Drosophila melanogaster: one gene and its partners. The protein of the gene in region 2 interacts with the protein of the main gene of each other region in a biochemical or structural test. Each region holds a gene or a part of one and is shown on either strand. Other genes may lie near its edges.

Region 1 (8,911 bases), on a different chromosome or scaffold from region 2:
AGGAGGCAAAAGTGCTGGGCATCATTGACCACGTGCTTGAACATCCTCCAGAGACTGTTTCCGAAACGGGACCCGCGTCGGACGGCGGCGTCACCTCCGGCAAAGCCGTGCCCGAGGAGTGCGAGAAGAAGAGAAGCAAGCAGGCAGCCTAAATTTCCACCTTCCTATAGACCAAAATTCAATCATAAGTTCGAAACAATTTGAATAATTCAGTTTTCCACAGAATATACACTTTCCAAATACACCATGTCGACTTTCTCATGATTGAGCATTATTAATATTGCATCATTAATGTTTAAAAGCCTTTACGTAATCAGTTGCTCTTAGTTAAGAGAGGATGAACTGGAATTATCGTTATCTGATTGAAGAGCTAGTCTCTTTCAGGAAGAGCAAATGGATCCTATCATCCATCATTCTCCCTCGTTAAAATGCTAAACCAATCAATAAACTTTTAGTAAAATTCATAAACACAGTACTCAATACGGCATTTGTTTGTTTTTGGTTGTCGGTAGTTTTTGGGAGTGGTTTACTGTTTACTAATTAACTCTTTCAAGTCGATCTGCATTTATTTCTTATTAGAAAATTTAAAAGCTATATCAGAAAAAGAGATACTTGTTTGTGCGCAAACGCATATTCTTAATTAAGTAAAGGAATTTGAAACCAAGTTTCCCTTTTAACTCTGATCCATTACTATAATATCTGAGCTACCGGTGATGGAATCCTTCTGTATGTACTCGAAGATCTTGTTTAATTCCGGTGTTTCTTTGATCGACTTGAGGAAATCCACTAACTGCTGATTTTTGTCTATTGAAGAGGAATTTCAATTAGTTTATTTTCAGATACAATGTTCTTCAATATTTTTACTTACTTGCTTTGGGTATTTGCGAAAGGGCCGAGACTGCACGAAGGGCAGAACGCTTGAGTTCGTCCTGCTTTTCGTACTCCTGTTTCACAGAGTTGGCCTTCACCTTGTGGGTGCACGTATCACGTAGTTGCTGTATAAATTGATCGAGTCCTGAAAGAATTGAGCAAAGTGAATAAGAGATCTCAAGTAATCAAGGCTTTGGTACTACTCACTTAGCAGAACCTTATCCGGGCACAAGATGGCCAGACGTGCCGTCATCAGGTACGTCAGCATCTTGATGTCGTAGTGGTCGCACAGACCAGCCTGGACATGGTCCAGGAACTGCATGACATCCACACGATCCAAGCCCTGCTCGAGAAGTGTGTACATGCATTCAAATGCCGCTTTGCGAATGTCGAGACCGTCGTCGACGGTGTGCTTGAAGGGACCCATCTCCACCTCCCTAATCAGTTCGCTCTTCACCTTCGTCTCCGAGTAGAGCCAAGGCAAAAGGGTGGGCAGCAAATCGCGCACCAAACTGGGCTTGTTGTGTACCGCCGAATTGAAGGCTACTAGTGCGACGCGTCTCACTTGGGGCTCCGGATCTCGCAGGGCAAATAGAAACTCGCCAATGTTCTGCTTGAGCAGAACATCAATGGGCTGCGGCTGATCGGAGATGGTAAACTTTACTGAGGAGACAACAACGGTGCGCATGGTGGCGCTTTCGGAACGCAATGCCTGCTGCAGTTGCGGCAGCAGCTCGTCGGGATTGACCAGCACCAGTTTGCCCAGGCACTCGGCCACCACGTTGCGTGATCCCTCCTCCGAACACTCGCAATGCTTGAAGAGCTGATCCCAAATGGATGGCACCGAGGGTAGGAGCTGGGCGAGTCCGCTGGGCGATACCGATAGCGATGAAATGACCTCCTTAAGCGAATGTAGCAGCAAATACTGTCTCTTCGGCTGCACCTCAATCTCGTGCAGAATCAGAGGCAGGTATGTCTGCAGGCTGCCCACGGACACAGCGCCGAGAGCATGCGAGGCTGCAGCCTTTACATCCTCCGAGGTGGCCCCAAAGCATTCAATAATTGTCTGCGGCAGCACCTGTATGGAGCTCAGATCAAAGTGCCTGCCAATCTCACCGATGGTGAGCAAACAGAATATGATTTCCGTATCGTTACGCTTCTGCAGATCCGTTATCAGCTTTGTGGCCAATGGGGTCGCCACCTGGGGACACTGCTGTGTTAAGGCAGCAATGCACTTGGCCGATGAGTGATAGGCCTGCTTGTGCAGCTGCACCACCTCACTGGGAGCGCCGGCAGTGGCTCTGGATTTGACGTCACCGTTGCCACCCAGAACTGGTGCCATTAGCTTCGAAACGAGCGAATGATAGTCCAGGCCAGACAGCTGTGTTTGCACCAAGGCCTGGAACAGCTCCAACGTGCAATTCAATGCGGATCCCTGTAGCAAAGAAATCAGTTATTAGTTTTGCTAATTACTCAGCTGTTAATTAAAATTCACCCACCTGCAGCAAAGGAGATCGAACCAAAATGAGCACGGAGCGCAAGAACTGCTCATGTATGCCGACCAGAGCTTGGGGCTGCCTGCGAGCTACGGTGCTCAAAAGCGTCAGAGAGTACTGGGCTACGTGCAAATCCGAATCCGATATAAGCGGTGGGATCTCAACTATGGCTGTCTGCAGAAGGTTCGCCTCGAAGTTGCTCGAATAGTTGATGACGATCTTGTTGATCAGATCGAGGGAGTGCAGCTTGAGGGCGCGGTGGTTCTTACGCAGGAATGTGCCCAATGCGGGCAACACGTCGTGCAGGATGGGTGTCAGATCTATGCGCAGGGACGAAGCTGCGATCAGGGTCAACGCCTTCACGCTGCTCAAACGGGTTACTTCGTTCTTTAGGCGCTCCATGAAGATTGGCAGGCAAACCGCCAGCTCATTCTGCAGCATGTCGCCCATGTTGGCGATAATCTGCCCCATGCAGGCTATGGCTCGCTCCTTTACCTCCTGGTCGACATCCGTCACTTTCAGTTTCTGCAATGTGCACGAGTAAACCTGACCCACAAACGATGGGGCATCAAAGTCGGACTTGGCCGCATTCGGTTCTAATGGACGAATCACCTTTACCAACTGCTGCAGCACCAAAAGCGCCTCGGTGGCAATCTTATAGAAAGGATCGAAGACCGAAGTCACTACGAGGGGCACCAGTAGGGGAATATGTGGATGAAAGACATGCGGCGGATGTCCTTGGAGCAGCGAGTAAAGGAATCCCAGAGATTCGATCTTCATGTTGCTGGTAGAGCTTTTGTCATTCAGCGAATAGCTTATGCCTGGCACAATGCTGTCCAAGTAGGGTCCCAGGGCACCTGGTAGCGAATTCAACAGCTCGCGCAGCAAGAGGAAGCAGTCTTGACGCGTTTTCATCGATTTTTCCCTCATTAACGGCTGTATGGCTTTCACAATGAGTGGCAGCTGCTCAATTAACAGCGAGGTCGGACCCGATACCTGATCCATTGAGTCGTGGTCGTTGGCCACGTCGTCGGTGAGGCGTGTGTTCTTTAGCAGGGCCACATAGGCGTGAAATATGTCGGACTTAACATTCTCCTCACGCTCCTTGAAGCGCGCAATCAAAGCCGGACTCAGGCTGCGATAGAAGTCCTCGACGAGCTCCTGCCGTGTGGATATCAAGACCTCCAGACACTTGGCTGCAGCGCGACGAACCTTCCAGCTCATGTCGTCGTCGTCACTGTACTCCTCACTATCGACGTACTCATCATCCTCCGTGTCCATGGCATTGCCAGTGTCGCCATCATCCGTCTCGTAGTTGTAGTTTGGATCGTAGGTGATATAGTTGAGGCACAGCTCCAGGATCTAACAAAACCCATAAGCTATTAAACGTGAATGAGAACATAAAGCATGTGTACTCCTTACCATGGGAATATGCGGGTTTATGGCATCTGGGCAGCGCATGACGAAAGCTTCGCAGGCCTGCAGACAAAACTCGCGCAGCTCATCGTCATCCCGCTGGCTGTACTGGCTCAGCAGGAGCATGGAGCGATCAATGTGATTGCAAAGTCGATGGCCAGCCTGTCGACTAAAGAGTAAAGTTAAATAAAATTGCATCTAAAGATCATATGGCATAAAATATATAACAATTTCAGGAATTGGAACTTACCATATCGAAGCCAGGCACTGAATGTAAGTTCGAATGGCAGCTGGATTTGGTGGGTTCTCTAGGCCATCGAGCAGATGATCGATGACACCGTTGTAGGCGTTGCTATTGGCCTGGATCAGCAGAAATGACAGGGCCACGATGGTACGCTTGCGAACAGCCTGGCGCGATGAGGCCAACTGGGGCATCAGAGCTTTCAGAATGGTGCTGTGGAAGGGAACGAGGAACTCCCCGAAGCGAGAGAGCAGATCGGCCAGAATGTCCAGCGACTCCAGTTTCACAGAGACGTCCTCCTATTAAGGAACAACGGATTAAACGTTTGGGTGCCTAGGGAATAGCAATATAACGCACCTTCTCAATTGCTGTGCTCAGTTTGCCGGTGATCCTTTGACAGACATTTGGGGCCAGGGAGTTTGAGGACTGCGGCAGCTCGGCAATCACTGTCTTTAGGCCAATACTCGATATGTCGCGCAGCTGCTCCGTGTTGGACATCATGTTGGCGCACAGCGAGTCCACGATGGTCTCCACCTGGATCTCCTTCACCTTGTTGACCAGGGGACCCAGGCACTTGACAGCCAGGTTCTGAACTTCGCCGTTCTTGTCTTCCAGCAGCTTGAGCACCATTCGCACCACCTTTTTCTCGGACTCGTCGTCCAGGATGATGCTATCCTTCTGTAGCTCCGTCATCAGATCGTTTGTCGCCATGAAACGGAAGTCCTTGTCCGTCGACGTCATCTGCAGCAGACGAGAGAGCGGAATTAGAATTTCGTTATGTTGCAAAAATGAAATTCTATACATACTTTTTCCAGCAAATTGGCAATTTGGTGGTACTGATGTGACGCCATAGCGAAGGCTTTGAAACGTTCGATCGATAGCAATTAACTGATAAGTGAAATATTGTGTATTTGTATTGGGCTGCCCTATTTTTGGTGTTCTAAAACTTGAAAATTTACTGAAATTTTTCCGGTATTGAATCTCCAAGTTTTATATTCACTCAATTTTGTTATAAAGGCTGCTTAAGTGGGCCCACTTTGAAAAACTAAAAAACCCACTTTATAATCCCTAATGCCTTTTGGATGCCGATAATGGTTTTGGTACATTTTCGTGGTATAAAATACGGTGGAGAAATATTTTGGAACAAGATTTTATGTACTAGTAAATTTTTATATTTAGGTTATTTTATTTTTGAGTTAATACATGACAATCAAAATATAAATATATATATTATCAAATATTAATTCCCAATTTATTTACTAGTAAAATACTTTGTGTCATTACCATCGTTTCAGATGAACGATATATCAGCTATGTGGCACTAAGAGTCTCCCATCTCTAGAAAAGTGCCGCTCGTTTTCAGGAATTATTTTAAACTAAACCGCAGCTCACTGCTAGAATTCAATCAAAATACCTTTTTAACACCAATAAATGCTAACAAAATGGATCAGATTTTAAACAAGGAAAACACCGGCATTAATTGTAAGTTGAATTAGGTTCGACTCCCGTTCGTGTTAGTAATTACATAGCCATTTATCATTGCAGTGCCAGCGAATCCCATTAAAAATGGAGTTCCTACAAATTCCGTATTGAAGAAACCTCTTGGTAACCTTGACAATGTGATGCACCAAACTCCTGGAATAACCCCGTTCAAAAGCACTTCTCTGAAACTCGAGGGTAGTATTGCCAAGCTTTCGCTGCGAAAGGCCCCCAAACAAAATGTGGTCAGCAGGGATCGCGAGGAAGTTAGGTATAAAACAAATAGCTGCTTTTTGGGCGCCTACGTATTGAATTGCGAATACAGAGTCGTCAATTTGTTCAACTACACTGACTTTCCGAACGAGAAATGTTTGAAGAACTGCAGCAAGCGTAAGTACCGCTCATATTAAACAACTCCCCTTGAAAATTGTACTATAAGTTGTATTATTACAGCGGTCACAGAGACCTGGTCGGAAAATCAAGAGGGCTATGAAGGACTATTGGATCAACTTTATCTTGATCTGCGCACATTGGAAAATAATTTGGAAAACAGATGCCTTCCGCCCCTAGATTTTACTGACCTGCCATACATATACAACACAGAAAACATGGAGCCTGCAGAGCCTGAATACTTATTAAATTTATATCCCCCATTGCCTAACTTGGAAGGCATTGATGTTCTATTTTAGATCCTTGTTTAAAAGTTCTATGATTAATTGTAGTTTAATATTTTTTAGCTAGGTATCTTTGTACTACTAATTAATTATTTATTAATGTTATGCTAAGAGAAACTGTTATACCATTAGCTATCCAAGTTTGTTGTCTCGAATCACATTTGTGAAAAATATTTTTTTTACGCTACAATATATTTAGTAGTTTAAGAACCGACATTAAGCCTCCAACAGGCAATTATATGTGTACGATGTACCTCGTTTGGAAGTGATTTTGAATTAAAGCAACTATAAAAACTAACTGGGAGATTAATTTATGGAGCTTTGGAGTTCAGTTGTGAATGTAAACAGAGTTTATTGCTTCCACCTTTTGTCTCTTGATATTTATCAGCATTCGCGGGGCTTAAGTATATTCACTCCGTTTATATTGAATTTGATATTTGGTGGAATAATTCTAATCTATTTTTAGGGTTTCCTCTGTGTTTGCCTAATATGAAAAGTTTATATTTATTTGGGAATTAAACATTTTTGTTCAGTAAACCAAAATATTTTCCCAGCTAGCTAGCTTTTGTTTGCATCTTGTTAGCCTTTTCCCGCTAAATGACGTCTGGCTTTTTTCTGGTGGCCAACAGTTGGCAACACTGCGGCACAGTAATGTATCCAGTTTTTTTTACATTGCTGCAGAAAGGTTTCTCGTCTCGCTGGTGACCTTAGTGGTCCGTTCTCCTGGATAAAATAAAAGTGAAAATTAACAATATGAGTGTATAAAACGAAATGTAAATGCAAAAGAGGTATAAATCTAACAAATAAACATATACTCGTGCAAATGAACATAAAAAGACTCACTTAAGATGTGCAATTGTTCACTAATAATTGTGTTTGTGTTAAAATTATGACCTAATACGGCAATTGGTACAAAATACATACGCATTTAACAAACTTTCCGACCACACCGAATCGAAAGACTTAGGCGACAAACTCGTAATTGCCGAGGGATGTTGCGATGTACATATGTTTAAAGACGTGGCAGTGTCACCAGTGCAACAATACATCTCTTGTATGTATGTAAACATATGCTGTTAATGTATAATATTTCCTGTCTGATGAAATCAAGATCGAAACTAATTACCGACACTTCAATGGACTTTTAGTGAACAAAAAATTAAATTAACACATGTACTAAGTATTTGTAGCCAATAAATTAATTAGATGTTAATTTCTGCAGCCACTGAATGATATGCGGTTTTATTTGTGCTGAAAACGAAACCCGAAACCATTCTTTGTTCAACACAATATTGAATAATCTTAAAAATGGTCTATCCCGAAGAACCTTTTTGGGTTTTACCAACCGTAACTGGATTTTACGAGGATAGAGATTATAGAGGTGAGTTTGATTTGTGTTTGTTTTTTTTTTTATCTATTAGTATAAACCAGTCGCATAATTCGCATATCGTTCAGTAAATGTCGTTGAAGCCCTACAAGAGTTTTGGCAAATGAAGCAGTCTCGTGGAGCTGAATTGAAAAATGGAGCTCTTGTGATTTACGAATCGATTCCGTCTAATAGCCAGCCATACATTTGCTTCGTAACACTTCCTGGAGGAAGCTGCTTTGGAAGTTTTCAAGTAACTACGTTATTAGCAAAGTGTTGACGCAGTGTTTTGTAACACATTTACTACATTTTAGAACTGTCCCACCAAGGCAGAGGCTCGTCGCAGTTCGGCCAAGATCGCCCTAATGAATTCCGTCTTTAATGAGCATCCATCGCGTCGAATCAGCGATGAGTTCATTCAAAAGGCGGTTCAGGATGCTCGCACTTCCTTCAAGGGCACATCGCAAATCAACGAGGGCACAGAATCGGGCATCGGAGCATTCAGGTGGGTTCCATAAACCATAATATATGCACTTGCTATTGAAACCCTATCTTTCTAAGTATTATGAATTAATAAACATTTTTCTGAGTTTAGATTCATGCTGGAGGCGAACAAGGGAAGAACCATGCTGGAGTTCCAGGAGCTTATGACCGTGTTCCAACTGCTTCACTGGAACGGATCGCTGAAAGCAATGCGCGAACGCCACTGCTCCAGGCAGGAAGTGGTGGCTCATTATTCGAACCGGAGCCTGGACGACGAGATGCGATCGCAGATGGCATTGGATTGGATTGCCAGGGAGCACGATAATCCAGGCGTTATTCGCAGGGAGTTGGTGCTCGCCGAGAGGGAGCTGGAGACCTTTCGCATGGCTGGGCGTGAATTGCGCTTTCCGAAGGAGAAGAAGGATATCCTTATGATAGCACATAATCAGCTGGGCGGCAGTGCCCTTAACTCGGCTACCATTGATGATTAATTGGAAAAATTAATAAGCACGATCGAAATTAACCCTTTTTTTAGATAAATCGTATAATTTCAACTTTAACGACGATCAATATTTATTTAATTGGCATACCATATGATCTCCATGATGAAAAACAAGCGGAAATTATTACACTTCCCACAAACACTTCCAAATTATGAAAATTAATTTAAAAATCTTTGAAAATGTGATTTTTAAAACAGCTGCTACACAAATAAGACTAAATCCAATAAAATAAATATAATATTTTAACTTAAAAGTTCATTTGTATTTTATGAATGCTAATATTGTTTAGCTAACCAAATATATTGTGGAATCCAAGGCAAGGGAAGCTACAAAGTTGAATTCAACTTTTGTACAAACTCATATTTCTGATGTGTTTCAGCTAA
Region 2 (8,660 bases):
CGGGCCCAAGTGGCATTTACAGTGGTAACTCTCCACATCGAACTGCCCCTCGGTGCCTATTTTGGTGGCAGGGTGCAGATATGTGCAGTAAAATGTGGTGATTTTCTCTTTAATTGTTAAATAATAAAATCGCAATATATATATATTTTCTTTAAATGTATATATTTTTTTGAAATACCGAAGTTTACTGATATTAACAATCACTAACTAAGCTAGCTACGTCCATATCCGAAATTTTATAAATGCTTCCAATCTATTCTTAAGCTACCCTACAAAATGAGTGAATTGAAATTTTACCTGGATATTGAAAAACAACTTAAGATGACATCTTACTATTCGCAGCCATCCTCGCGACCCGAATCGGACTTCACGCTCGACCTGCCGCGGGCGGAACAGCTGCGTCTGAAAATGGAGAAGGAGAAGAAGTTCCGCCAAAGATGTCGCTTCATCACCACGTTCCTCAGCCTGGTCTTTTTCCTGCTGACTGTGATGGTGGTCAGCCTGGTTCTGACGCGCGGCAAACGGATGTTTGGCAGCATGATTTGATTTCGGGAATTCCCATCGGGGATGCCGATCGCCGACCCACGCCGTTGGCTATGTAGCCACACCAGTTAGCTCCTAGATCCGACTCTGGTAGGTCGGGAGAATGGAAAATGGCTCGGCGGAATATTACAAACTACAGTGCCAACTACAAATGTAAAACGTTAGCGAAGCTCAAGTTTAGTGTTAGCGGTAGTCGTAAGCTCCTGTGGTATTTCTTGGCAGGGCAGGGCCGCCACAGCCACAGCCGCAGTCGCAGTATTGTTAATAAATTATTTATGTGATCCTAGTTAATAAGTACAAGTTAGTGCATTTGTTTCCGTGCGTACGCGTATACTGCCTGTATCCAGCCTATGTATATCCTTTGTCACAGCTATCCATAAGCCCATTAACCTGTATTAAGTCTACGTTTGTAACCAATTATAGCTAGATTCGTCCTGTGAAAGTGTGAAGAATAAAGAGAGAAGCGAGTACATGTAATATAACATTTATTTATATGGAACATCGACGCAGAGGCGATTTGAAAGCATTGGTATTTATGAGATTTTTAATGCCTTGCATACATATCATCGTAATCGTTATCACAAGTGGTTTTGTTTTCCTTTTTGATTCGTTAAACCTGAACCAACTGCGAGTAGGAGAAATGCAGAGAACTTAGTTATTAGTGGGCTTAGTCGGCTATTGGCTGGCAGCTACAGCTCAAATCTACAAAGCATTAAATAGCTACGAAACAAGGCAAGTTCTGATGAGAAGTGTCGGAAATGGCGGTGCGACCAAACGGATCTTTGGCGTGTGCATGTGTCTGCTATTTCATAATATGCGTATGTTCTGGCGATTGACCTCGAACAGGGTGTGGTCCTCTTCGTCACTATTCACGTCCTCGATGGCCATGGGCAGTGGTGTCAGCTCCTGGTTGGCGCGGTCGCCCTGCACGCCGTACTTGCGCTCCGCCCGGGAAAGTCGGAGCCTGCAATGATTTGCGATTCGATTAGTCTTATCACCAAAAATTGCTAGTATAATAACTTAATAATGTAGGTATGTATGTATAAAGTAAAATTCAGTATATATAGGTAGTCTGTTTTGCATATAGTCCACCGATAAGAATATTTAAAGCTACATATTTAAACATTACGCTTAGTTTTAAATTAGTATTCTAACAATATTTACTGGAAATTTTAATTTCAAGGCACGATAAAGGATCGCTGTAAACTTTTGAAATCCTTAAAAATCTATTCTTTGCTGTTTTACCTTTGCATTACAAAATAATAAGGAAGACTTTGAAATAACCTTTCATGCTTTTCTGGACTCTAGTCTAGAGCTCTAGGATATGTCCTTCATTAACTCACCTATAAACCCTCATAATAAGCAGCAGTATTGCAGTACTGGTGATTCCCACGAGGATGTAGACAACAGCCTGGCCCGGAAAGTCCACATCGGGGGACATGGGAGAGCGTTCAACATGAACATCATCCACGGGAAGACCTCCCGGAGGCTGCACCATTTCCGGTGCCTTGGCATCTCCTGGTGAAACTTGTGTGGCAACCGAAGCACCTGGAGCAACCGGAGCAGGTCCGCCATCGTCTACGACCACCATAGAATCCTTTGGTCCTGCCGGAGGATTCTCTGCTTGCGATTTCTTCACGACTGGCTTTTTGGCCTCCACCTCAGCAGCCGGCGCACTCTGCTCCGCAATTACCACCGTCTTTTGGGGCGTCTGGGTGGCTGCGTCACAGGATTGCTGGTGGAAGAACAGCAGCAGCAGTGCTGCAGCCACTAAGCAGAAGCAGCGACAGGACATCTTTTCGTATCCAACTATCAAAATTACTAAATATAGCCGCTTCTAAGCATAAACAATGACCTTTTAAATTTCTTTGCTGCACTGTTTTTGTTTTGCTTGGCGTCAGAGTTGCCGCACATGTCAAAGCAAACGAATCGAAATTGAAGTAAATGCGTATGCCTTCTATACACGGTCACATTGGTTTGAGTCCTGGAGGAGTTGTGTTTCGTACGGGCATTAGGGTGAACCTGTATAAGACTATATAAGCATACCCTAATTATTTGAAAAGGGTTTTATTATGCAAGTGCTAAGACCAATCGTTTTATATAAAGTATAGATTGTTCTCAAGTTCCAGGAAGTGTGCCCAGGAAAATGACATCTATAAGAAGGTTTCTGTAACCGCTAACGGATTTGTAAAATCTAAGATACGAACCGCGTTGCCGATATTTTACATCACGCTTTGAAGAGCCTAACAGCGATATTTGATATTATAAACTATAATATAACTGCTTTCCGTGTAAAGAATTCCCTGAAAAATGAGATCGCCACCAATAGTGGCGCCCAATAAATAGATCGCCAACGATAGCTGGTCTTAAGCGATACCACCGTCGAGGGCCTTGCAGCGCAATGGCCGAACGGTCACACATTTTAATAGTTAGGAATAAACGAAAGTTAGCAATTTTCACAGAAAAAAAAAATTAATTTAATTATAAGCAAAGCAGTGAAACACAATTTTAATTTAGTTTTAGTTTTAATTTTAGCAGCGTCTGGCAACAGGTAATATAAAGCAAAATGAGGGAAATGCAAAGAGACGGGATTTCGTGCTTTGAAAATGGCGAACAAAAGAGAAAAAGTGTGTGTGCTCCAAGGGGAAATCAAATCCATCACGACGTCACGAAAAGAAAACTCAGTCGCACGGCTCAATTTACCAGGAAAATAAATTTCGTTTGGAGGGAGCTATGTGAAAAATCGAAAAAAATGTTAACAATTTAGTTGTGAAATGGTTATGTCCGCTATCTTTTCTCTTGGCTTTATGTGCCTTTGTGTGGGTGCGGGTGTGTGTGTGAAGGCGAGGGCGACTGCATATGTGTGCATGCGAGTGTTTATTTAACCAGGAAGTTGGGTTTTCGAACACGATCTAACGATAGCGGGGGCGGTGGTGGGGCTTCACCTGCCATGCGATTGGCCAATACCCTACATTGCAGGGCATGTCCGACCACCGCGCATTGCATTACAGCTTGTGCGTGCATGTGTGTGTGTGTGTGTATTCCGCAAGCCTCTCTTTTATTGCTGTGACATTGGATCATAATAGGCGACCTTCGGGTCGTCGCTTTTAACGTGGCGAGGCCTACTACATTCCCAATCCCATTCCGTTTTTGTACCGATTCTCTCATCTGCAGATTGACACTTTAAATTCCAAAATTGGAACACCGATTCGCCAAGATTCCGGCCACAACTCCAAGGACGAGAGCCGCGAAACGACGCCACCTGGAAAGCAGCAGCAATCCCCTGTCGCCCGCGCAGCATTCGCCACCTAGGGTCATTGCCTTCTCCAGCCCAGCGCCACTGCAGGGACAGCATCCTCCAGTGGAAGAAGGCAGAAGGCCGTTGCCACAACCCACCGCCGCCAGAATGAACCGCTCCGGCAATTCCCAGACCACACAGAAACTCGTCAACCTGGACGATATCTGGAGCGAATTGGTCGAGGGCATTATGCAGGTGTTTGAGCACGAGAAGTCCCTCACCCGCAGCCAGTACATGCGTTTCTACACTCACGTCTATGACTACTGCACCAGCGTGAGCGCGGCTCCAAGCGGACGGAGCAGCGGAAAGACAGGCGGAGCGCAGCTGGTGGGCAAGAAGCTGTACGACCGGCTGGAACAATTTCTCAAGTCATACCTGAGCGAGCTGCTCACCAAGTTCAAGGCCATCAGCGGCGAGGAGGTACTCCTGTCGCGCTACACCAAACAGTGGAAGTCGTATCAGTTCTCCAGTACCGTTCTGGACGGCATCTGCAACTACCTGAATCGGAACTGGGTGAAGCGCGAGTGCGAGGAGGGGCAGAAGGGTATCTACAAGATCTACCGACTGGCCCTCGTCGCCTGGAAGGGACATTTGTTCCAAGTGCTAAATGAGCCGGTCACCAAGGCAGTGCTCAAGTCCATTGAGGAGGAGCGTCAAGGCAAGCTCATTAACCGGTCGCTGGTCCGCGACGTTATCGAGTGCTACGTGGAGCTCAGCTTTAACGAGGAGGATACCGATGCCGAGCAGCAGAAGTTATCCGTCTACAAGCAAAACTTTGAAAACAAGTTCATCGCAGACACATCAGCCTTCTACGAGAAGGAGTCGGACGCCTTTCTGTCCACCAACACGGTCACCGAGTATCTGAAGCACGTCGAAAACAGGCTGGAGGAGGAGACGCAGCGCGTCCGCGGCTTTAATTCAAAGAACGGTCTTTCCTATCTGCACGAGACCACAGCGGATGTGCTGAAGTCCACATGCGAAGAGGTGGGATTGCCTACCGTGTCCAACTTTAAAGCCGCCTACTAACCGAATCAATGTCTTTCAGGTTCTTATCGAAAAACATCTGAAAATCTTTCACACCGAGTTTCAGAATCTGCTCAACGCAGACCGAAACGATGATCTGAAACGGATGTACTCCTTGGTCGCCCTCTCGTCCAAAAACCTGACAGATCTCAAGTCCATCCTTGAGAACCATATACTCCACCAGGGCACGGAGGCCATTGCCAAGTGTTGCACTACCGACGCGGCCAACGATCCCAAGACGTACGTACAGACCATCCTGGACGTGCACAAGAAGTACAACGCCCTCGTTCTGACGGCGTTCAACAATGACAACGGATTTGTGGCCGCTTTGGACAAGGCGTGTGGAAAGTTCATAAACTCGAACGTGGTCACGATCGCAAACAGTGCTAGCAAGTCGCCCGAATTGCTGGCCAAGTACTGCGATCTGTTATTAAAAAAATCCTCGAAAAATCCCGAGGACAAGGAGCTCGAGGACAATCTTAACCAGGTGATGGTCGTGTTCAAGTATATCGAGGATAAGGACGTCTTCCAAAAATATTACTCCAAGATGCTTGCTAAGCGCTTGGTTAACCACACATCGGCTTCGGATGACGCCGAGGCTATGATGATCTCCAAACTGAAGCAGACATGTGGTTACGAATACACCGTCAAGCTTCAGAGGATGTTCCAGGACATTGGCGTCTCAAAGGACTTGAACTCGTACTTTAAGCAGTACCTGGCCGAAAAGAACTTGACCATGGAAATAGACTTTGGCATCGAAGTCCTGTCCTCAGGCTCTTGGCCTTTCCAGCTGAGCAACAACTTCCTGCTACCATCTGAGCTGGAGCGGTCAGTGCGACAGTTCAATGAGTTCTACGCCGCCCGCCACTCTGGCCGCAAGCTCAACTGGTTGTATCAGATGTGCAAGGGCGAACTGATAATGAACGTCAACCGCAATAATTCCTCCACCTACACCCTGCAGGCCAGCACCTTCCAAATGTCAGTGCTGCTCCAGTTTAACGATCAGCTCAGTTTTACAGTCCAGCAACTGCAGGACAACACACAGACGCAGCAGGAGAACTTGATTCAGGTGAGAGTAGTGTCAATAGATAGAATTAATAGAGACTTATGTAAGAATTTCTTCAGGTATTGCAAATACTGCTCAAGGCGAAGGTGCTGACCTCCAGCGACAATGAGAACTCGCTGACGCCAGAGTCGACGGTGGAGCTGTTCCTCGATTACAAAAACAAGAAGCGCCGAATTAACATCAACCAGCCTTTGAAGACTGAACTTAAAGTGGAGCAGGAGACTGTACATAAGCACATAGAGGAGGACCGAAAATTACTGATCCAGGCGGCGATCGTCCGCATCATGAAGATGCGCAAACGACTCAACCACACCAATCTCATATCGGAGGTGCTTAATCAGCTGTCAACGCGCTTTAAGCCTAAGGTGCCCGTGATCAAGAAGTGCATAGACATCCTGATCGAGAAGGAGTATCTAGAGCGAATGGAGGGACACAAAGACACATATAGTTATCTCGCCTAAGTTTTTGTTAAATGAACAACTTTCGCTGTTTCATCTATGCCAGCCATTAAAAATATCATCAATAAACTTAGATTCGTGTCGACCCTCCGCTACCCTTCCTCCTAGCCCGAAATAAACTGCCGCCGAAACATTCGAACTAGAAGCGAGCTAAAAATACTCCATGCTTCGCATAAAATGTGCAATTCTCGCCAACGCGTCACTAACTCCATCTTCCGACACCCAGCACCTCATTCAAAGAAAAGGCCAGTCGCAGGGATCAAGTGAACCTATTGACCAGATCACAGCCGATGAATCCGGCCTCTGTAGGAACATATTCCAATTGCCGAGGACAAGGTTCCAGGTTCCCAGCCTACAAATAGACTTCTGCAGGGGCTGTACGGTATACATATGTAGCGATTTTCTTTACTTCCCATTGTTCGATCAATATTTGTTTTAACTAGATTATGTTTATTCATAATTCGCTGTATGCATATACAATTATTATAATTCTACGAAGCAAAAAAGTGTTAAGTTCATAAAACTATGTACGTTTACCTCTGGTGCGGTCAATTGTATTGAGTATTCCTTTCTATTCCTTAATGCTTAACTTTTGGTCCAGGTTCATACCGCTCGCGATGGCGTACACGGTGAAGGCGAACTTGGCTACCTGCAAGGATTGAAGTTCGGACTTTGCTTCCTTCCCCGTTCTAACCGAGAGCAGTGGACTTACATTGATGTTAGTGGCCAAATTAATGTTAAATATGTTCATGGCGGTGAAGGTCATGGGCTGCTGCAGTTTCTGCAGGAACTGGATGACAGTCCGCTGGTATCGCTTGTCCTGCACCCACCAGGCGGAATGGAAAAGTGCGTGGGCCAGTTCTTTGCAGTCGTCCACGATGGCGTTGCAGTAGAAGCAAAGCGGAAAAGTCTGCAGAAGGACGGCCATAACGTAGATGACTATGCCGAATCGGGTCGATTGATCAGCGAACAATACCATGTTGATCATAATTATGCCCAGGATCGATCCGCATATGATGAATTGGGCAAATATCGTGCCAGAGATGATTGGTTGAATGGCATCACAAAAACTGCATGGGAAACAGTGGGATGGGTTTTTAACATTGAAAATTTAAATTAATGCATATATTTTAAAAAATGTAAGCTAATTTATTTGAAATAAAATAGTTTTATGTCGAATCGTTTGATATACCATTTATTTTATCCTGAATGTAAAAATATACTCTTATATATTCAGAAATATCAATAGCGAGTTCTTATAAAAGTTGTACTTTTATTCAGTTTTCCGAATAAATTCAGATCCGTTGAGTGAAAACATAATTCACGGTTGTTGATATTTCCGGTAGGATAATGAAACTGACTTACTTTAGCATGGTTCTGTGTGCCTTGATACAATCCACCAACGATTTAAACATGTAGCTCGGGTCGCTGCTACCCTCGTTGCTGGGATCGCCCAAGTAAATGATACGGTCCTTGAGCAAGAGAATATGAGTTCGCAGGGCTGCCACGTAAATCACAGGGTAGGAATCGGTGGCGGTGGCCACATATATGGCATAACCCACGGTGAAGTACTCCAGAAAACTCTGGATGTACATCTGGGTCCGATCGACTCGCCAGTTTATGAACGGATAGTACGTATTGTAGGGAACACGGTGGTGCAGTAGTCCGTCCAGTAGCGTGGAGGTGGCGTAGAGGACGTAGACCACGACGAAGGTCAGGTACAGTCTTGTAATAGTGGCCACCATGTCGCGAACCTTGCGCTTCTCCGCCGGCTTCACGCAGTACTTATCCAATTCGTCAAAGTGCTTGTTGGCCAGCTCCAAGCGGTGCGTATAGACGATCAGAGTGAAGAACTTCAGAGCGAAGCACCAAGTGTTGAGGCACAGTTGCAGGGATTGCAGCAGCAGCTCCGGCGGGAACTCCGCCAGATGTATCACATAGTTGATTGGGAAACTTACGGGAAGTATCACCATATTGTAGGTGAACGAAAACACCCTCCAAATCTTGCGGCCTATACCGAAATCGTTCTTCAAATTCAAGCCCGAATTTCGCAGCGTCTCCATCATGTATGCATTCGAATCCCTAGACTGTATGGGCTCCGATATAGGAGCCGGATAGACGAGCTTAAAGTGTCCGAACATCTAAAGTTTCGAATGTTTAAGGCTATAATATAACTGGCGATAGGAGGAGCTCGGAATGCTTTTATAGTCCGCGATTTGTAGTTCTTAATTAATGTTTGCCAATTTAGTAGGCGTTCCTCTTTTGGTTGCAA
Region 3 (5,822 bases), 5.9 Mb from region 2:
CCAAATGTCGGTGGTGGCCAAGTCCTTGAAGTACACACAGCACGGCGAACCACAGGAGGTTCTGCAACTGGTGGAGGACAAACTTCCCGATCCCAAGGACAACCAGGTGCTGGTGAAGATTCTGGCAGCTCCCATTAACCCGGCGGACATAAACACCATTCAGGGTATGCTGGCCATTAGGATATATCACAAACAAACATATATTATGCATGATACAACTGAAATATAGCCATAACCGGCATGAACTGCATAATTAATAACGATAATCTTCTGCTGAAACAACTGGATAAGAACTGAAGATCAGAGATACTTGTATTCTAAGTATACCCACTTGCTTGAAAGTCAGTTATGGGATAATCAGAAGTAATCCATTTAAAGTTAAACGAATGTTATCAGTACATCTTTGTACTTTGAACGATGCTCAAGGTTGTGGCTTTAAATTTTAAAGAAGCCTAGCTTGTTTAAAGTCACTTTGATAATGATTATTATAAATCCTTTACAGGTAAATACCCGGTGAAGCCCAAGTTTCCAGCCGTTGGCGGCAATGAGTGTGTGGCGGAGGTCATCTGCGTGGGCGACAAAGTCAAAGGCTTTGAGGCAGGACAGCACGTCATTCCCTTGGCCAGTGGCCTGGGCACCTGGACCACCCATGCCGTCTACAAGGAGGATCAACTATTGATCGTGTCCAAGAAGGTTGGCTTGGCGGAGGCCGCCACCTCGACAGTGAATCCCACCACTGCCTACCGAATGCTAAAGGACTTTGTGCAGCTCTGTCCGGGTGACACGGTCATCCAAAACGGCGCCAATAGCGCCGTCGGCCAGGCAGTGCACCAATTGTGCCGAGCCTGGGGCATCAATAGCGTTGGCATTGTACGCGACCGCCCAGAAATTGCCGAATTGAAGCAGATGCTGCAGTGCCTGGGAGCCACCGAGGTCCTAACAGAGGCCGAAATTCGCACCAGTGACATCTTCAAGTCGGGCAAGTTGAAAAAGCCCCGTCTGGCCTTCAACTGTGTGGGCGGAAAAAGCGCCACGGAGGTGTCGCGTCATCTAGACAATGGCGGAGTGCTGGTCACCTACGGCGGAATGTCCCGCGAACCCGTCACAGTGGCCACTGGACCCCTCATTTTCAAGGACATTGCATTTAGAGGCTTCTGGATGACTCGCTGGTCCAAGGAGAACTACAGTTCACCAGAGCGTTCGAAAATGTTCAAGGAGATCTTCGAGCTGATGGAGCAGGGAAAGTTCGTGGCCCCCAACCATGAGATGGTGCCCTTGGCAAAGTTCAAAGACGCGGCGGCCGCTGCCTTGAGCTTCAAGGGATTCACCGGCAAGAAGTACATACTGGATATGAGCATTTAGATGCGTAACTCGAGGCTAAGCCTGCTGTTTATTTACATATACGACTTGTGTATTAAAATTGTTATCTACTGTGATACACTTTAGACCATCTCCACCTCATTGGACTGATACTTCAGCTGCAGAGTCATGGCGGACGGCGAGGTGGCATCGGTGACTGTGAGCTGCTGTCCATCGTGTAGACCCAGTTCGCCCAGGCTCTGAGTAAGGTTCTTTCGGGTGGCCTCTTCAATGCTCTTTACCCCGGACATGTACAAAGTCCGCCGCTTGCCGTCCTTCATCACAGTGGTCAAGGCTGGGCTTTTCAGCTGGAAACGCGGGGAATCACACAATAGCTTTATCACATCCTCCAGCGTGGTGGTGTTGGGATCCTCAATCGGCAACGGCTGCGGTGTATTGCTGCACGCCAAGCAGTTTTCCGACTTCTCGGCCTCGTAGGTGTAGGTATAGATTCCGTCCAGGTCGTTGAAGTTCAGGTAGTTTGCCATGCTGTCATAGCAGCTGGTGGCCAACTTAAAGACCTCCAAAGCACAGGCGGCGGCAATGGCTGCATTGGTACTGGCCACAGCTGGAATGATGTGCTTGACAACGCCCTGGACCAAGCGATAGGTCACTCCGGTGATGTTAAACTCATTGGACCGCTCCAGTGCCCGTTCGTAGATCCAACCAATGTGCTGGGGATCGTCCCCATCGAGGGGCACTCCAAACGGATTCTGTTTCTCCCACTGTATGATCTTTACGTACTCAATGCAATGCTCCGGAAGCCTGGGAGTATTTGCTATGGTGCATAGGGGATAGTTGACCTGCGGCGGGAACAGGTCCAGCGTGCACTCAATGCAGGCCGTGAAACCGGGCAGGATGACGCGTGCGTTCCCCTTGAAGCCCTCGGTGCCGCCATCAATCATGGGCACTATGGAGCTGGTATCTATGGTGCCGTCCTCCTCATATCGCAGCATTGATAGCAGCATGCCATTGATCCAACGCCGGGCGACAATGGAGTCTAGGCCACAGACAACCAGGTGGAACTGCTGATAGAAGGACTCATCGAAGTCCTGGATTTTCTTGAAATGCGGCGTCACCCGGCAAGTAGGCACTCTTGCGTTGATGAAGCGAGCCGCACACTCCGCCTTGGAGGCGCCAATGTCTGTGCGACGGAACAGAAACTGGCGATTCAGGTTGGACAGCTCGATGGTGTCCATGTCGATGACGTGCAGGTTGCCGAAGCCCATCAGAGCCAGATCCTTCAGCAGTTCGCAGCCCAGGCCACCGGCTCCGATGATCAGAACCTGGCACTTGGTCTGCAAGAACTCCAGGTTTTCCGACGAGGCCGCGAAACCGTCCTTGCAGAAGGGACCTTCGCGTTCCAGGATGTTCCGCAGTCCATTGAAACGCTTGCTCTGGAGGATTAAGCCAGGATTGGGTGAGTGGACAGACATTTTTCAAACAAAATCGAGACTGTGATTCGTTTAGCAACACTACTCGGGTCGGAATAAATATTAGTGATGGTAGCTTATGTGAATAAGAATTTATATAAGACATATTGTAAATAAAAAAAAATATTGTAATTATATTATTATTAATATAATCATTTCAAAAGTATTAATAGGATAACATTAAATTATTTTTTATTTAATTCCGAAAGAATTGTTAACTTGAAACAATCTCTATCATCTCTAACACGATCAGATCGATATTTTCTGTTAGCATGACTACCCTACTGTTATTTCGAGCCACCCATTAATGGTCACACTGCGCAGATGGCGTCAATTTGAAAACAACGGAACTTGAAAAAATTCAGCGCGTCTTTTGCAGCGTGCTCCGTTTGCCACTCGTTTTTGGGTAAATACTACTGATTTTCAGTAGATTTCGAAGTTGAATCAAGGAAACCAGTGTGCAGGCAGTCCCTGCGAGTGAAAACCGATTCGTAGAACTACCGAGACAAGCAAAAATGGCGCTCTCCGCATTGGCGTCCTTCGATGATCTGCGACGCTGCATGCAAGTGCTTACCGATGGAACTCCTGAGGAGGGTGAGTAAAACTGAAAACACGCAAGGCAAATGAAGCCCTACATGATGCTTGTATTCCATTTAGAGTTCCTGCGGTTCTTGCGCATGTTCGAGCAGTACCACGAAAAGTGCGCGGGCTACGCGGCCGAGACGGCCAGGATACAAAACGAGCTGGACAAGTCGTTGACCAAAATGGGCGACCTGGAGGGCAAACTCTTTCACGCACGCCGCATCATCGACATGGAGATCAAGGCGCGCCGCCAGGCGGAACACGAACGAGATGCCATGGAGAGCAAGATCATGGCTGTGGCAGATCTGCTGCGACACGAGCGCAATCTGAACAACGAGACCCGCGACAAGCTGGCCTTTCTGCACACACTGCCCTCGTCGCGAAAGCGCAAGTCCCTGAATGCCGTGCGGGAGGACAAGTCCTATGGCGACATCAACTCCACCGGATCGTTGCTGTCGGATTTGTCTATTACACACTCCGAGGACGACTTCCTCGATGTGCGCACATCAAAATCTTGGCGAGAGCATCGTCCTTCGCTGCCCAAGAACCAGATTCCTAGCGTTGGCAACAAGAGATCGCGATTGAGCACTGGACTGAATGGCAGTATGTCCGGGACTACACCAACCACTGGCAAATCGCGGCGCTCTAGCGTCGGAATCGGAGTGGAGCAACACACGGTGGACGTGGGTCAAGGCGCTGAGCGCTTTTGTGCCACCACCAAGGTCACCATACCCCAGGATGGACAGGGCGTGATTCGTGCAGAGTCGACCATTGAGTCGCTGCCTGTAATTGCCGGCAACGAGAGGATCGGCGACGGACTATCCTCGACGCCACGGCGATCGGTGCTTAAAGAGGCCACCGCACCGCCGCTGACGCCGGTAAATGCTATGGCACCTCACGTTGTCGCTGAATCCGGAACGCCACTGCAGCACCGTCCACTGATGAGGAACCACACCTTCAGTCAGAAGACATTCTTGCGTGGCGACAATTGCGTTCAGTGTCAGAAACGGTAAGCTTACTAGAAGTTCTGCTCCAAGTAGGTTTTTTTTATTAATTAAATACTTTTTATACTCTTCAGCATACGGTTTGGAGCCGTTGGGCTGAGATGTCGGGATTGCCCGGTGCGCTGTCACATCGATTGTCGGTATCTGCTCACCGTTAGCTGTGTGCCGCAAACGGGAACACCGACGACGAAGACCATGACTGGCTATGTAACGGACTTTGCACCATCTATTGCACCCATGATCCCGGCACTGATTGTGCACTGCGTAAATGAGATTGAAGCCCGCGGCCTGACCGAGGTTGGCCTCTATCGATTGTCCTCGTCGGAGCGGGAGTACAAGGCCCTCAAGGAGCAGTTCCTGCGAGGCAAGGCCACTCCACATTTGGGCAACACGGATATCTATGTGCTGTGCTGTTGTGTCAAGGATTTCCTGAGGTCCCTAACAGAGCCTCTCATTCCCACCAGCCAATGGAAGGATTTCGCAAACGCAGTCCAAAATCCTGACACCAAAACTGCCCAGGATATGTTGGTTAAGTCGGTGAAGCAGCTACCACAGGCCAATAGGGATACGCTGGCCTTCCTCATACTGCACTTCCAACGAATTGCCCAGTGCCCAGTCGTGCTAATGCCGATCGATAACATCTCGCTCATCTTTGGCCCCACCATTGTGGGCTACTCCACACCAGATCCCGACCAGCATGCGATCTACACGGAAGTTTTCACCCAGAAGCAGGTGATGAAGGCACTTCTTGAGCTGCCCGTTTCGTTCTGGGAGCAATATATCGTTATAGATCCGACAAGAACACCGGCCACAGTTATCAAGCGGGTGCCAAGCAACAAAAATGACTTACTCTCGCTATATGGTGAGTTATTTATGAGCTAATTTTTTTAATTATTCTAATTATCTCTCCTTCACAGCAACTCCCTTCAAAGGAGGCACCATTAAGAAGCGGAAGTTTTACGGCACACCGCCGGCATCTGCGCACAAGAAATAACGAGACTTTCCTTGTTGGAAAGCATTTGACGTGTTACTTAAGTTTACTTCAAGTATTTTGCAAGTTTTTTGTTTCCGGCCAGCCAACCCCGAGCTGTATTTGTACCCAACCCAACCATAAGCTTTTCTTTATAATTTATGCGTTCGATTATAAACTAAAGCACGTTATTATCGTACTAACATAAGTATACTCACCAGAGAAATAAACTAAAATATGCATTTGAAAAGCAATAAGAACAATGAACAAATATATAAATAAACGATAAAAGAATATAACAAGTTTTTATTCAAGTTCAAATATTTTTGAATCTGTTTAGTGAACTTACTTTTTTATATTCTTGATGGCAAATTATTGGAGGCATGTTAGTAACCAAAAGTATATTAAACATTTCCGGATTTGGATTTGGAAACGGGAATGTTTCGCCACAAAACGTGCATCACAACTAATGGC

What was found.
Region 1: the proteins of Cul1 (region 2) and Cand1 form a complex in vitro, tested with the Drosophila melanogaster proteins (one study listed by BioGRID).
Region 3: of the proteins of Cul1 (region 2) and Uba3, one has a biochemical effect on the other in vitro, tested with the Drosophila melanogaster proteins (one study listed by BioGRID).

The regions. Positions count from the first base shown.
Region 1 is NT_033779.5:10,357,634-10,366,544, forward strand, and holds Cand1 (Cullin-associated and neddylation-dissociated 1), read right to left. Parts: upstream 5,075-8,911; 5' UTR 4,875-5,074; coding exon 4,830-4,874; intron 4,765-4,829; coding exon 4,381-4,764; intron 4,323-4,380; coding exon 4,033-4,322; intron 3,952-4,032; coding exon 3,789-3,951; intron 3,729-3,788; coding exon 2,370-3,728; intron 2,306-2,369; coding exon 1,078-2,305; intron 1,016-1,077; coding exon 869-1,015; intron 805-868; coding exon 674-804; 3' UTR 501-673; downstream 1-500. Other genes in the region: ClpP (caseinolytic protease proteolytic subunit), read left to right, coding at 1-152; pim (pimples), read left to right, coding at 5,466-5,505, 5,569-5,892, 5,956-6,191; lft (lowfat), read left to right, coding at 7,485-7,557, 7,632-7,795, 7,857-8,047, 8,138-8,516. UniProt on the Drosophila melanogaster protein: Key assembly factor of SCF (SKP1-CUL1-F-box protein) E3 ubiquitin ligase complexes that promotes the exchange of the substrate-recognition F-box subunit in SCF complexes, thereby playing a key role in the cellular repertoire of SCF complexes.
Region 2 is NT_033778.4:7,914,015-7,922,674, forward strand, and holds Cul1 (cullin 1), read left to right. Parts: upstream 1-2,939; 5' UTR 2,940-3,094; intron 3,095-3,163; exon of another isoform or gene 3,164-3,320; intron 3,321-3,717; 5' UTR 3,718-3,949; coding exon 3,950-4,825; intron 4,826-4,886; coding exon 4,887-5,933; intron 5,934-5,989; coding exon 5,990-6,391; 3' UTR 6,392-6,959; coding exon of another isoform or gene 6,960-7,037; 3' UTR 7,038-7,100; coding exon of another isoform or gene 7,101-7,458; 3' UTR 7,459-7,565; downstream 7,566-8,660. Other genes in the region: CG30377 (uncharacterized protein), read left to right, coding at 343-546; CG12159 (uncharacterized protein), read right to left, coding at 1,351-1,507, 1,887-2,338; Or43b (odorant receptor 43b), read right to left, coding at 6,960-7,037, 7,101-7,458, 7,754-8,529. UniProt on the Drosophila melanogaster protein: Core component of multiple SCF (SKP1-CUL1-F-box protein) E3 ubiquitin-protein ligase complexes which mediate the ubiquitination of proteins involved in cell cycle progression, signal transduction and transcription.
Region 3 is NT_033778.4:13,855,971-13,861,792, reverse strand, and holds Uba3 (Ubiquitin-like activating enzyme 3), read right to left. Parts: upstream 2,842-5,822; 5' UTR 2,796-2,841; coding exon 1,443-2,795; 3' UTR 1,363-1,442; downstream 1-1,362. Other genes in the region: CG16935 (uncharacterized protein), read left to right, coding at 1-164, 503-1,362; tum (tumbleweed), read left to right, coding at 3,308-3,386, 3,450-4,383, 4,453-5,240, 5,296-5,372. UniProt on the Drosophila melanogaster protein: Catalytic subunit of the dimeric Uba3-APP-BP1 E1 enzyme. E1 activates Nedd8 by first adenylating its C-terminal glycine residue with ATP, thereafter linking this residue to the side chain of the catalytic cysteine, yielding a Nedd8-Uba3 thioester and free AMP.